2 linked regions of the Caenorhabditis elegans genome follow. The protein of the gene in region 1 interacts with the protein of each later gene in a pairwise test. Each region holds a gene or a part of one and is shown in the gene's direction. Other genes may lie near its edges.

What was found. The genes of interacting proteins can lie anywhere in the genome.
Region 2: the proteins of F17E9.5 (region 1) and wdfy-2 interact in a two-hybrid assay, tested with the Caenorhabditis elegans proteins (one large-scale study listed by BioGRID).

The regions. Positions count from the first base shown.
Region 1 is NC_003282.8:8,344,214-8,351,474, forward strand, and holds F17E9.5 (DUF7087 domain-containing protein), read left to right. Parts: upstream 1-1,604; 5' UTR 1,605-1,669; coding exon 1,670-1,750; intron 1,751-1,883; coding exon 1,884-2,291; 3' UTR 2,292-2,333; downstream 2,334-7,261. Other genes in the region: lgc-5 (Neurotransmitter-gated ion-channel ligand-binding domain-containing protein), read left to right, coding at 1-79, 120-272; F17E9.18 (Neuropeptide-Like Protein), read right to left, coding at 2,678-2,827, 2,878-2,934; F17E9.15 (uncharacterized protein), read left to right, coding at 3,210-3,266, 3,315-3,515; F17E9.4 (TransThyretin-Related family domain), read left to right, coding at 4,174-4,343, 4,392-4,494, 4,680-4,780, 4,829-4,880.
Region 2 is NC_003280.10:9,315,927-9,322,378, forward strand, and holds wdfy-2 (WD repeat and FYVE domain-containing protein 2), read left to right. Parts: upstream 1-3,938; 5' UTR 3,939-3,951; coding exon 3,952-4,015; intron 4,016-4,086; coding exon 4,087-4,288; intron 4,289-4,343; coding exon 4,344-4,690; intron 4,691-4,861; coding exon 4,862-4,979; intron 4,980-5,099; coding exon 5,100-5,459; intron 5,460-5,505; coding exon 5,506-5,662; 3' UTR 5,663-5,952; downstream 5,953-6,452. Other genes in the region: csa-1 (WD_REPEATS_REGION domain-containing protein), read right to left, coding at 1,762-1,839, 1,891-2,191, 2,247-2,438, 2,667-2,900, 2,945-3,031, 3,076-3,222, 3,503-3,546; Ras-related protein rab-39, read right to left, coding at 6,142-6,285, 6,335-6,448. UniProt on the Caenorhabditis elegans protein: Plays a role in coelomocyte endocytosis.

The DNA.
Region 1 (7,261 bases):
AACCAGTTCTGTATCCAGTATGGATGTTCCCGAGAACATCATTGCGCCTGTTTCTCTTCTGAAGTCGTCATTACATAAGGTAAACCACCATGATTTGAACATTAATTGATATATTTTAGACTGCGTTTCTTGTTCGTGACACTCTGCAAGAAATGTCTCGCATTAATGAAAATCAGTTGCTCTGGCTCAAAATTCTGGATAAAACTGATCTAATGTGTCTTATTCTGTTTCAAGTTGCCAATGTTGTAATAACAATTGTATATTGGAAATAAAAATCAAAAATAACTTTCAATAAATTTATATTTACCCGTTTAAAAAATTTGATCAATTCATAGGGATAGATAGTCCTAGTGGCAAAAATTGGGTACTTGTTTGACAGTAAATTAAAAAATATTTAAAACGTCTCTAAAGCACCCTCAAAACAAATGATCGGTTTTAGTGAAGAATAATTTATATTAACAACTTTCCTGCGCGAGAACATGGAATGTTTGGACTTTTTTAGAGTATTGTTTTCTGCGGGGTTGACAAATTTTCAAGAGTCCCTAGGCCTTCTACAGTGCCGGCCATAATTCTATCCAATTTTAGTTTTTTGACAATAACTTGTTTCAAAGTGATTCGTTTGAGTTGAAAATTCACTATAATATGAAAATGATCAAAACATAACTATTACTGCAAGAATTATAAAAAAAGCAAAATTTAAAAAAATTTCGGGGAATTTTCAAAAATTCGAAAAAGTGAAAATTATCTAAATTCTGAAAATAGGTTCTTTGTGAACTGGATCGGTTTTATCTGTCTACGAAACTGTCATTAAACTAGTAAATGAATCTTTGTGAATTTATTTTTGGCAATTAAAACTTAGGTGTCACGTGACAACAGACCATAAGCTTACCTGCAACTTGCAAGTGCTTGAAAATGGAAGAGTCTTTCTATTTTCAGTCATTGTGGCTATGAAATCAGTCTCATTCATTTTTAAATTAGGTTTTCTACATTGTTCAAGACTATTCTATTGATTTTGTATAATGTTTCTATCTATCTCGCTGGATATAAGCATCGCAGAGACACTCAGTGCTTACCAAGTATGTCAATTTTTGTCTTTGCCGCCTTGGTAAAGCTACCCTAACCCCCTTTTTTTCTAATGTGTGCAAAAAGTCAAGCAGTCAGAGTGAGGGATGGTAAAGCTATCGCACCTGCAGCAAACTAACTTCAAAATAAATTATGGTTTTATAAATTAGGGTAAATTAGGTTTTGGTTTTCTCAAATGTTTTTTTTCCGCAAACGTTATTGGATTTGGCCTATATATATTCTCCAGGCCAACTAGAAAGCATTCAGCTGGCTAAAAACACGCGGTTATCGGTATATTCATAATTGAACAAGGCTTCCCTCAAGTGACTAAAAAAGCTTGTTTAATTACATGAAACGGATGAACTAGAAATTCTTTAATTTCTTTTTCGATGACCGTGATGTTTTACTTTATTTCAAAAATAATTCCAAAAAACATCCAGAAACTTTTTTATAAAGGTTGTTTTTTCTCCGCTTCAACCTCGACCTTTCTTTATCTCCACGGTCAATCTGCCCTAGATCCGTCCGTATAAAAGATCGGAAAATGTGTAATTCAAATCAGTCTCTGCTCGAATCACCGATTCTCTACTCACTCGACTACTTCTCTGCAATGGATCAAATCCCACCGTACGAGTTCAATAAGTACGTGCTCTACGCTCGTGGTGCCGTCATCGTGTGTGCTTCATTTGAGGTTCGTTCTGTGCCGTTCGTGGTCCTCGGAGGACTGGTCCTGGTTTTTAAGGGCTGGCCTCTAAAGACTTGTCCTGGCTCTTGGTCTTTTGCCCGTTTTCCAGAATGTATAGAACATCATGAAATATTTGCAGCTCCTGATGGTTCTGTTCGGTTCCCTCGGCGATTGCAATTTCCTTGCCAAGCTATTCTACTTCATCTTCCTCGGTGGAGCAGTTGCCGTCTCATCGCACAACATTGCTCTCAACATTGATGGTCGCGAGGAGATCAACAAGGTTCTTACCTCGTCTGACAATGAAGTTCGTGGAAAGTCTGCCGCATTGGTTCTTGTCCCAGCTCTTGCTGGTATCTTCGTCTTCTTGTGTGTTTCTGGGCATGCATTCTTCTCACTTTTCGTGCTCATCCACGTGCTCGCCGCTGTTGGACAACTCGGAATTGAAGCTTATGAGTTCAAGAAGGGACAATCTGGAGCTCCAGCACAAGACCCAGCCGCCACTGCACCACCAGCCCAGGATCCAGTTGCAGCTCCACCAGCACAGTAGAAAGAATACTTGGGGGTTTTTGAAATAAAAGTTTTTACTTGCTCTTTTTGATCAGGAATGTAATCTGCAAATTCTGCTAGACTCGGTCGCCAAAAAACCTGGAAAAACTAAGTGCTCTTTTCTACTGTAGTTTCAGAAGAGTGAGCATCTTGTTGTAAGAGTAATATTTTGTTGTGGTTAGTCCGAAGAGAGGCTTCTGTGATTACTTAAAAACTATCGTAACTATCAACTTTTTGAGCAAATACTGGGTTATTGGAGTACTTTAGTATGATTGCTGTTCGTTTCGCTGGGTTATTTCAAGGATTCTCGCAAACTGGAATAATTCAAACACTTTCTAAATGCTCAATAATCTTTATTATTAGTTCCAACTCCAACAAGAGAAACATTCATTTTCTTCCCCATCCAAGTGGAGTCGGTGGACGATAGATGGTATGTCTTGCATTTGCAGATGGGATGAAATTGAATGAACTTGGCTGAGGAGCTCTTCTAGCTGGGTTGAACAGTGATGGTAGAATTTGATTAGTTGGAATGAATTGCTGTAAAGTATTATACGTTTCTTTTGCTTGAAAGTTTGAAATCAGCCTACCGCGGAAACCGAGAAAATGGCGAAAGCAAGGAAGATGCAGGCGGTGAACAGTTGCATTATGAGATGCGCTTTTTGGACTTCACCGAAAAATGGTAAATTTATATGAAAACATTTACGAGCTCCCTCCGATTGTAGTGTTCAAAAACATAACAGGTTTCATAAAATATTCTGACCCCTCCGACAATCGAGAAAACTCTAAACATTTTAACTACACCCCTTTGATTTTTTTGAGAAGAAATCAAATTTTGCAGTGGTTTTTTCGGAGGGACCTCATCAAACTGGGAATATAAAAGAACGCGTTTTGTGTAGTATCATTAGCAAAGTCTTTGAAAATGCAAATATTCAATGCCTATATCTTCCTTGTCTTCACAATTTGCTCAGTTTCTGCGGTAAGTTTTAAATGATCAAACTCAAATAATATTATATTATTCAATCAGCAATTCTATCCATGGTCAATGGCTTTTCAACCAGTTGATCACATTGAACCATCAATCTTCAATCCAATTCCACAAGCTCCAGAGCCAAATTTGTTCAATTTCATTCCATCTGCAGTTGCACAGCATACTATCTGTGCATACTATATATCAATCGTCCACCAACTCCACTTGGTTGGGGAAGAAAATAAATGTCTCTCTTGATGAAATATATAATAAACATATTCAAGCATTCAGAAAGTCTTTATTTTATTGCACACTCCCCCTAATGTAACAAGTTTAAACCGTTTTACAGTTGTTTTCATCCTATTACGACATTGTTAATACATTTTTTAACATTATAAACTGGAATTTCTGACATGTGTAGTGTTCGTAAGTGTAAGTGTTCAATAAGTAATCACAATTAAAAGTATCTACGAGCAAGATTTCAAAATTATCAAAAACTTTGAATATTATGTTTATATTTCTTGTACGTTCTTTCTAAACTCTGTGCCTATTGGTCGGCCCAAAACAAATCGTTAAAAAAACAGATGAACACTTGGATAATATAGTTTCAATTGCGAGTCCCTGATGAACCTGTGACTCAAAGTGAAGTTCCTCGCAATCTGCTGACACTCTGAAAAGGGTCGCGGGTCGATCCATGTTTACGCCTAACAAGTTAGAAAGCTACAATTTTTGCGAATCCCATCCAATCATGCAATCTCTGCCTTTGTTTTGTTTTGTTGTCAATGTTCTTGAAATGTGATTTTCTGAAATGTTGTGGAAATCATCATGTGAACGCATCATTTTATTTTCCAATCTCAGTCATCTTTTCCCCGTATAAAAGATTCTTCTAAAGTTTTGTTTCTACATCATATACAAAATGACGGGATTCTCAAGTGTATTCCTAAGCATTCTTTTTTGTATTTTCTTCCCATACGTTGTCTATTCGGCCAGTTCTACAAAATTCAATTTCTCTGGAACAATCACATGTAATGCCACCATGAAAGATTCATTTGTCGAGAAGCTGCAAGTATGGGAACATGATAAAGCGTTAGTTTGAATATAAATTTTTATGAAAATCTATTGAAAATATGTCAGAACACCAAATGATATGATAGGAGAGGTAGCACAATTTATTAAAGACAAATCTGGTTTCTTTTATAAAGTTGACGCAGAAGACAATGGGGATGGACTATTTGATGTAGGTATTGTTGTGATTCTAAAATTTTGCTGTGACTTATAGGAGGAGTAACGGTTGAGATGATTTGGAACGTAATTAATGGAATTTTAATTAATTTCAAAGTACCCACATGTTTTGTCTATGTGTTCAAAATACTCAGAACTGTTACATGTTCTTTAAAACCAATTTTAATTGTGTCGTTTCAGAATGATTATGAAATTTACTTCACTATCTATCACAATTGTACAGAAAAACGAACTGGAGATGATGTGACTGTTTATGTTAAGGATTTCCTTGTGATTGATGGGTAATTCTTGCTTGTTTTCAGTATTTTACAGAAGAACTACCGTTCCAGAGCCTACAATCACACAATGGATATCAATTTGAGTGACTTGACAAAACACTAAAGGAAAAACTAAATATGTGTTAATAGATTGACTGAAAATATTAGCATCTATGTTTAATAAAACAATTTTGTTACCCATATTTTCTACAATCAGCCAAATAACCTTTCGGCCATCATTCCGAAAACCTGAAATGCTCGGAAACTGTCCTTTCGACCGAAAACAGGCCAAGCAGATACTGTAGTAGAATATCAAGTAGTTGAAAAACGTTTGGAAGTTTGGAATACTTTCAATTTTATTAAATAAATATTAAAATTCGTTGCCTTTTACATTTCCTTTTTTTCGGATTTTCCTGTTTTCGGCCGAAAGGACATTTTCCGAGCATTTCAGGTTTTCGGGGCAAATACTCATTGACTCCAAAATCATTGACTACCTGTGCTCATTGCCTTCCTGTTCTCATTGCCTACTCTTTCTCATTGCCTACCCTTTGCTCATTGTCTACTCGTTTTCTTCATCAGTCAAGAGGCACGTACAAGGACCGTATTCCAAGAATACATCAAAGATACATCTACTCAATTTGTTCATTCATTCAAAGGGTATATATATTTACAATCTTTCAATCTGTACACAACATTTCGGGCAACAATTAATAGTAGATGTCATGTTTTAATTTATATTAATTTTGATAGGACACGCAAAGGCTGGGCAACATTCATTATCCATCAACATTAATAGCAACAATAGCAACAAAAAAACAATTAAAAATTTGAAATAAAAAGTCTGGAGTTGATAGTGGCTTTCGATCTAAAAATGAAATAACCTCCAAAACTCTCTAAACTGAGTATTTTCAAACTGGCGTATCTCAAAAAATACACATCTGGATAACAAACGTCCAACTAACAAAATGATCAGAAATATTTTTTCTTTCTAATTCAATAGTTTTTATTTCAATACACCAACTTTTTGTAGAGTTACACGGAGTCAAAGCCATTTTACCAATTTTCAAAAAAATTTTAAGAAGTCTTTTGTTGTACCCTTTATAACTCAACTTTCATTAATTTTCAGAAGATAAATTTTGTTGAATAGTGAGTGAAAAATATTTTTCCACATTTTACCAGTTTCAAGTTTTCGGATATTTTCATGTTTCGCCAAGTTACAGACCGTTTTTCAAAAAAAATCCAATTTCGCTTATAAAAATCTTCATATTCAACGTATCGACTTGAAATTTTGAGAAATGATCACTTTTTTGATGTCTCTACAATGTCCTAAAAAATCTTTCAAAAAACACTGTCCATCTCCAAAATCGTCCTTCGCTCCGAAAAATGAAATCGGACTTTTGCTTTTCGAGAAATGTGCGAAAAAATCAAAGTGGCTTAGTGGCTGTGGGTCGATCTAAAAATGAAATAACCTCCAAAACTCTCTAAACTGAGTATTTTCAAACTGGCGTATCTCAAAAAAAAACCAACTTTTTGTAGAGTTACACGGAGTCAAAGCCATTTTATCAAAATTCACAAAAAATTTTAAGAAGTCTTTTGTTGTACCCTTTATAACTCAACTTTTATTGAATTTCAGAAGATAAATTTTCTTGAATAGTGAGTGAAAAATAATTTTCCACATTTTACCTTATAAAAATCTTCATATTCAACGTATCGACTTGAAATTTTGAGAAATGATCACTTTTTTGATGTCTCTACAATGTCCTAAAAAATCTTTCAAAAAACACTGTCCATCTCCAAAATCGTCCTTCGCTCCGAAAAATGAAATCGGACTTTTGCTTTTCGAGAAATGTGCGAAAAAATCAAATTGCGATTTTTGGGTCGAAAAAAATATTTTTAGAAAGCTGAGACCACGCTATTTACGAATTTCATGTTTATTTTGAGTGATTTCTTCTCTTAAACGACCTAAAAACTAAACAAAAATAACATAATTTTTATTCTCACGTGTAATTATTTGGTAATTTGCTCAGTGTTTCAATTGTTTTAATGCAAATTTAAAAAATTTCACGTGAGAATAAAAATTATGTTATTTTTGTTTAACTTTTAGGTCGTTTAAGAGAAGAAATCACTCAAAATAAACATGAAAATAGCGTGTTCTAAGCTTTCTAAAAATATTTTTTTCGACCCAAAAATCGCAATTTGATTTTTTCGCACATTTCTCGAAAAGCAAAAGTCCGATTTCATTTTTCGGAGCGAAGGACGATTTTGGAGATGGACAGTGTTTTTTGAAAGATTTTTTAGGACATTGTAGAGACATCAAAAAAGTGATCATTTCTCAAAATTTCAAGTCGATACGTTGAATATGAAGATTTTTATAAGCGAAATTGGATTTTTTTTGAAAAACGGTCTGTAACTTGGCGAAACATGAAAATATCCGAAAACTTGAAACTGGTAAAATGTGGAAAAATATTTTTCACTCACTATTCAACAAAATTTATCTTCTGAAAA
Region 2 (6,452 bases), on another chromosome or scaffold:
TGAGAGAAATAGAGAAGATTGTCAGATGATGTGATTGACATGGGGCAGCAGTGGAAGGGTGTCTTGTGAAAACCCGCAAAACTTGAGAACAGATTGACAATAAGGTTTGATAAATGACCAGGAACGTCTAGTACGAATCGGTTTTTTTTGGAATGAGCAATTTACAGTTGAAATGATTTTTGATGCATTTTCTTTCCGAAATATTAAAGATCCTCCATTTCAAAATTAGGAATTGGAAAGAAAAAGTGTTGCATAAGTGTTAAAATTTTGCAGAATGATCTTCACAAACCATATGTTAAACATGGAACGGGAAAATGTTTGGGGGCTCTCGGAGCAAGTAGTCATCATCCACTTGACATTGTTCTCTTGGATTGACACACTTCACACTCAATGATAGGTGAGTGTGGGAAGAGTAGAATAGAGATGGTTTTAGGGTGGAAGAAATGGTTTTTCGGAATTTTTACTCAAAAAAATTATGCTATCAATCTGGCAGCGTATTTTCCCAGTAAGTAGCGCAAACAATTTTTGCAATTAATAATTTAATAGTACTGTATTTTTTGCTCGTTTATTATATGAGACTCCTAAAACAATTGGCGTTTTCTAATACAATACGAGAATACGTTGCTGAGATAAAATGTAAGATCAAAATTAGATCAAGAAAACTGAAATGATATATTTATACTACCGTATATTTTCTATTAGTATTGCACATATAAGTTGTTATAACTACTTAGATTTCAAAGATTATATTTCGGCTCATTTAGGAGATAAAAAAAACAAAGTTCATTCTTTAAAAAATTCAGAAAATAGGCGGTAGGCGGTTAGGTTCGCCTGAACACGTACCTGCCTACTTGGCAAGCCCCAGAGAAAACGATAAAAATACGTGAGTTTGTGATAAAACATAATATCACTTTGGAATGTTTCACTGGCGGATTCGGAAGGAAAAGACTAGAGAAGGGAATCGAATCACCAAACAGACACTAATCATGTGTGCACACACGATGACCCCCCTCCCATCTCAGGTGTATGAGTCTCAGGCGTGTGTCTTCTCCTGTTTCGCTTTTGTTAACATTACGTAACAGGAGCACACAATTAGAGCATATGTGCAATTATGTTCACACCTTTTATATCGTATAAAACAATGGTGTCGAGTGAATAGAACACGGGGACAGGTCACCTTGATGTACTTAAATGGACTAGAAAATATTGGTTCGCATTGTTTTCAAACAAGAAATCAGGTATCTTGTCAAAAAAAAGTTCTAAACAAAATAAATAATCTATCCAAAAATATATTTCATAAGCTACAATATTCTAGAGTGATACATTGTACATTACTGAACTTTCTCCAATTACAGCAAAACTTCAATGCTTCTTGCCTGCCTGCCTAGAAGCCTACCTACGACCTATTGTTTGAATTTTGGCGTGAATTATGTTGTTTGTTGTTTGCACTGTTTAGTTTTATGTTGCTTGAACTCATTTAAGTTTCGAACATTGAATTCAAACGTGAAAAATGTTTTTGTGTAGTTATGAAGTAGGCACAAATTAGACGTAGGCCACCTTGAAGGCAGGCGCGAGCTTTTGTGCCTACATCTGATGTTTACTAGATTAATTTTGAAGTGCTTGAGTGACAATTTTAGAAAATATTCATTCATGTGCATATGCATCTTTAAAAATCGTATTAAAACTCGTAAAAAATTTTGCGACCAGAAAATAAAAATTAAAGAATTTTATAAAATGTGTTTTCTTTTTGGTTGCGACCTGCTATACTTCGTCTTGATCTTTGGTTGATCTGTCAAGGGATAAAATATTCAGATGATTGTAGTTGAAGCCTGTGATTATCTGAAACAAAAATCACCCAGTTTCATTCTTGAACAACTTTCAGTATCCTACCTCATAGCTTGATTTTCGAAAAATGAAGGGCTTATCCCACAACACTTTTGCTTCAACTTCTCGAAAATCTGGATTTCTTCTTGATTTATCATTATCAGAAAACCGAATGATCGTCAGTTTTTCAAAATTCGTTGCCACATAAAAATCCTTCTCATATATAAATTCCAAATTTGGACGACGCTGCATAAGTGGATCGAATTCACAGGAAAAATCAAATTTTGTGCTGAAATCCCACGTATCTGCCACATGAATGTACCCCGATCTATCGGCAGAGATGAGACGATGTCCATCGGCAGATATTCTGGAATTTATGAGATTTAGAATACCTTCAATTTAAAGTTTTGAAAATAAAGTACTTTAGTCCATAAATTTGTGATTTGTGAAGAGATTTCTCAGCAATTGCTCCACGTGTGCTCCGAATATCAAATAGTCCAATTGTTCCATCTCGTCGTCCTGCATATAAGTAATGATGTTTTGATGGATACCACTGTACAACATCAATTGGTTCATCATTCCAATATATCGATTGAGGTAGATCCATTCCGACTCTGAAATGATATTTATTTTGAAATATAAAATGTTAATTAATTTTAATTAAATTTTAAATTTTGAAATAATTCATAAAAATTTAAGACAAGAGGTTCGACCAGGGGAAATTGTAAGACCAAAGTTTTAGAAAGTTAGGCAGTCATAACAAAATATAGCTCTTGTTCAATACAAGATCCACTAGCCTTCAGGCACGTAGGCAGGCATTTCGTGGAACTTTTAAAGCTTACCTAAAATCTATAATTTTCATTGATCTCCCTCCATCTGCCACGGCAACTTTTGAATTTGTCATATTATACTCATTCCAATCAAAATAAACATCTCCTTCAAATTGTTTCCCATGAACCACTTTTTCCATGGTACTATCACAAACTCGCATCCAATTTGATGCTGTTGTAACCATGAAAAGGCGAAGATCGATTGGACACCATTTTATTGTTTTCAGAGATTGCTTCGCAAGTTTTCTGAAATCTTGATAAATTTTAGAATTATTGCGGTTGTTACATACAGAGTCATAGGTTTCTTCCACTTTTTACGATCCAAGTATTTATATTTGGCAACTGACACTGAACCACTATGAGATCCAAATAGTAGCCTGAAAAATCAATTTTTTTTAAACAAACTCCTAATTAAACCAACATTTGGTCACCATCATCTATATCAATCGCACTAATATCTTCTTGATGGCCTTTCCCCGTCTGATCACAACCCATAGGAATATGTTTTGTCCATCGAAAATTCAAAAGAGCCCGTGAAACTTGTTGTTCTTCGAAAACTCGGCGTTTTCTGCAAAAAATTTCAAATATAACTCAAATTTTAAAAAAAATTAGTACAGTAAGAAAATCTAGGCCTGTAAATTCATAAAAGTTTAAAGTCGTTGCGGGACCCGTCTGGTTTTCTGACTCTTGCGCCTTGAAAAAATTGCGGTACTGTCATTTATTTTCTTTATTTGCGCATTTTAACATTAAATTTCTCTATTTTTCTCGTTTGTTTTAAATTTTAATTATGCATTTGCACTTTTTTTTCAAAATTATTACGAAATTCACATAAAAACCGCAAAACTCACTTCAAATCACAGCTGAACATGTACTCCTCGTGACGAACAGTCATTTTCCTGTTGAGAAATTATAGAAACATGCGAATAAATATATTACGATTAAATAAAAAGCTCAAACGTTGCTGTTAATTTGAATATCCTCCTTAAAACAGCCAATGGCCTAGAGTCCACCAAACAAGTTCATTCTCGGCCGCACCGGTTTTCCGTTATTTACCGGGCACTGATTCATCTGTTTCCAGACCGGTTGCAAAATTAGTTTGATAAAAATTTCAATTTCCACAAGGAAATATTTAGTTCAGAAATAGTAACAAAAGTAAAAAAGGTGCAGAAGTGTAAACAAACGGGCGAGAACACGTGGTTTTATCGATTTTTGCTTTAAACATCTGCATTCCGTCCTCTAAACTTTATGTGTCATTTATTGGCATTCAATTTGATTTTCTTTCAGATTTTCAGCCATTATGGCTGCAATAATCAATCAACGCGTCGAACAGGGCGAATCAAGTATGGGAGGAGCCAAACCAGGTTGGTGAATTGAAAACGAACCATTTGATTTCCATAACCTGTGTAATTTTCGAATTTATTTTAATTTTCAGCTCTTCTTCACAGAATCACTGGCCACGTGGCTCGTATCAATGACGTCATTTTACTATCAAAAGACGAAGGAGTCTGGACTGCAAGTGATGATAGATCCGTTCGCCTGTACTTAAAAAGAGATAATGATCAATTTTGGCCGTCAATTCATCATTTCATGCCAGTTGCTCCAACAAGTCTTTATTACAGTGAAGAAACTTATAAGTTAGTTTAAAGTTTAAATCGTTTTATTTTTTAAATTTTTAATTTTTTTATTCAGGCTGCTCGTCGGACTTATCAATGGAAATGTCTATGAATTCAGTGTTGCCGATGACTTTAACAGTATGACAGAATCCCGAAAATGGACATGTCACGCTGGACCAATCTCTGGACTCGGCTTTGCACTCTCCTCCGAGCTCATTTTCAGCTGTTCTCGAGATAAATCTATCGTCTGGCATTGTTCAGAAAATTCAAATAAGATGGGAAGTTATCTTTTGGAAAATAGTTGTACAGCAATGGTCATTGATCTTCCATTTGTATTCGTTGGAGATCATGGTGGGCATGTCACTGTTCTTCGTATTGTCGATAATCAACCAAATCTTGTCAGCAAGCTTAGTGCACATACGAGTGAGTTTTTATCGTATTCTTTTTTTTTGAGTAAAATATTAATTCGAAATTTTAAATGCTATCGTGCCTAGGAAAAATATTTGTTAAGTATAACATTCCAGTATTTCCTGAAATTCCCCACAATCAATACAATTAGTAATTGTGGTTTGAATTAGTTCAATGATTTTTCAGATGCAATCACCTCGCTCACATGGGACGGAAATAAGAAAGTTTTGTATTCTGGAAGCAGTGATCATCTCATCATAATGTGGGATATCGGAGGAGGAAGAGGAGAAGCTTATGAGCTTAAGTGAGTGTATATTTCTGGAATTTACGTGATATTTCGAAAGTGTTGATGTTTTTCGAGCGCAAAAGTTGAATTATATTTAGTTGAAATAGATTTTTCCAAATTAAAAAATGTTTTTTTCAGCGGACACAATGGAAAAGTGACAACACTATGCGCAGCTCCAGCAGCCAAACGTCTGTTCTCGGCTGACGAACACGGAAAGCTCATGTGCTGGGACATGAATTGCAAGAGAGTTGAGACTCCTGAATGGAAAACTTCGGATTGCTGTCAGAAATGCAATCAACCGTTCTTCTGGAATCTTCAAGCAATGTGGCAGAGGAAAGTGGTCGGATTGAGACAACATCACTGCAGAACCTGTGGATCAGCAGTCTGTGGATCTTGCTGTGACAACTGGACCACCTATCCACCAATGGGATATGAGACGAAAATTCGCATTTGTAATGACTGCAATGCACGAATGAAAGATAATCCACAGAATTTCAAGTAAGTTGTAAAGCAAATGACTGATGAAACTTATTTTCAATTTTAGCCTTACTCCACTTGCAATTCCACATGAAATCCATACTGGAATCACTGCTATGCATCTCCAGGAAACTCTCGGACTTCTAGTTACCAGTGGACAGAATCGTGTGATTATGATTTGGGATGTTCGAAGTGTTTGCTCTGCCCCTTCTGGATCACAATAAACAATTGCTTCTACTTCTCGAATTTCTCATAATTCTTTGTATTTCATCTAATTTATTTCCTCTCCTTTCTATTTTGTATATTCACTCTCAAAATGCCCATCCTTCCCCAAGACCAATTGTTGTCAAATCAAGACCTTCTAAAACTTACCAATATTTCCCGATACCCCTGACAGGTTGTCCTGAATAGTGATTGTGATTCTTACTTTTCTTCTAATCCCGATAATTTCCTAGTTTTTCGACTGTAAAATTGTATTTTTACAACAAAGTTTGAAAAAAAATCTTTTTTTTTGAAGTTTTTGGACAGAACGACTAGAAATTATTTCAAAAGAATGCATGCCGGGAGAGTAGGTGAGGTTGGTGACACTGGATGAAGGAGAAAGCTCACAGGAAGTACACAAAATAGCTGAGTTTTTGATGTTTATAAGAACGCTACGCGAAATTATGACTACGGGGAAAATTAAAAAATTGAGGAGAAATTATCAACATCCGCAAGCTCCTGCGCTGCTGTTTTGAGGGAAACTTCTTTCGGATAGGCACACGGATTGTGACCTCATAATACCAGTTTTAAGGCCTTCCCAGCCATCCACGGGCCGCAGTTCTCCGTCGTCGACTCGATTTTGAATCTAAAAATTTGAAAATTACATCATAAAATTGAAACATTTTCAAAAAAACCTCTTGTGCAATCATATGAAAAGCTTCATTAACATTGTCTCCTGTTCTCGACGACGTCTCGATAAACTTCATTTTATGGTACTTGGCAAAGTACTCGCCTTCCTCATAGTTTACCTGA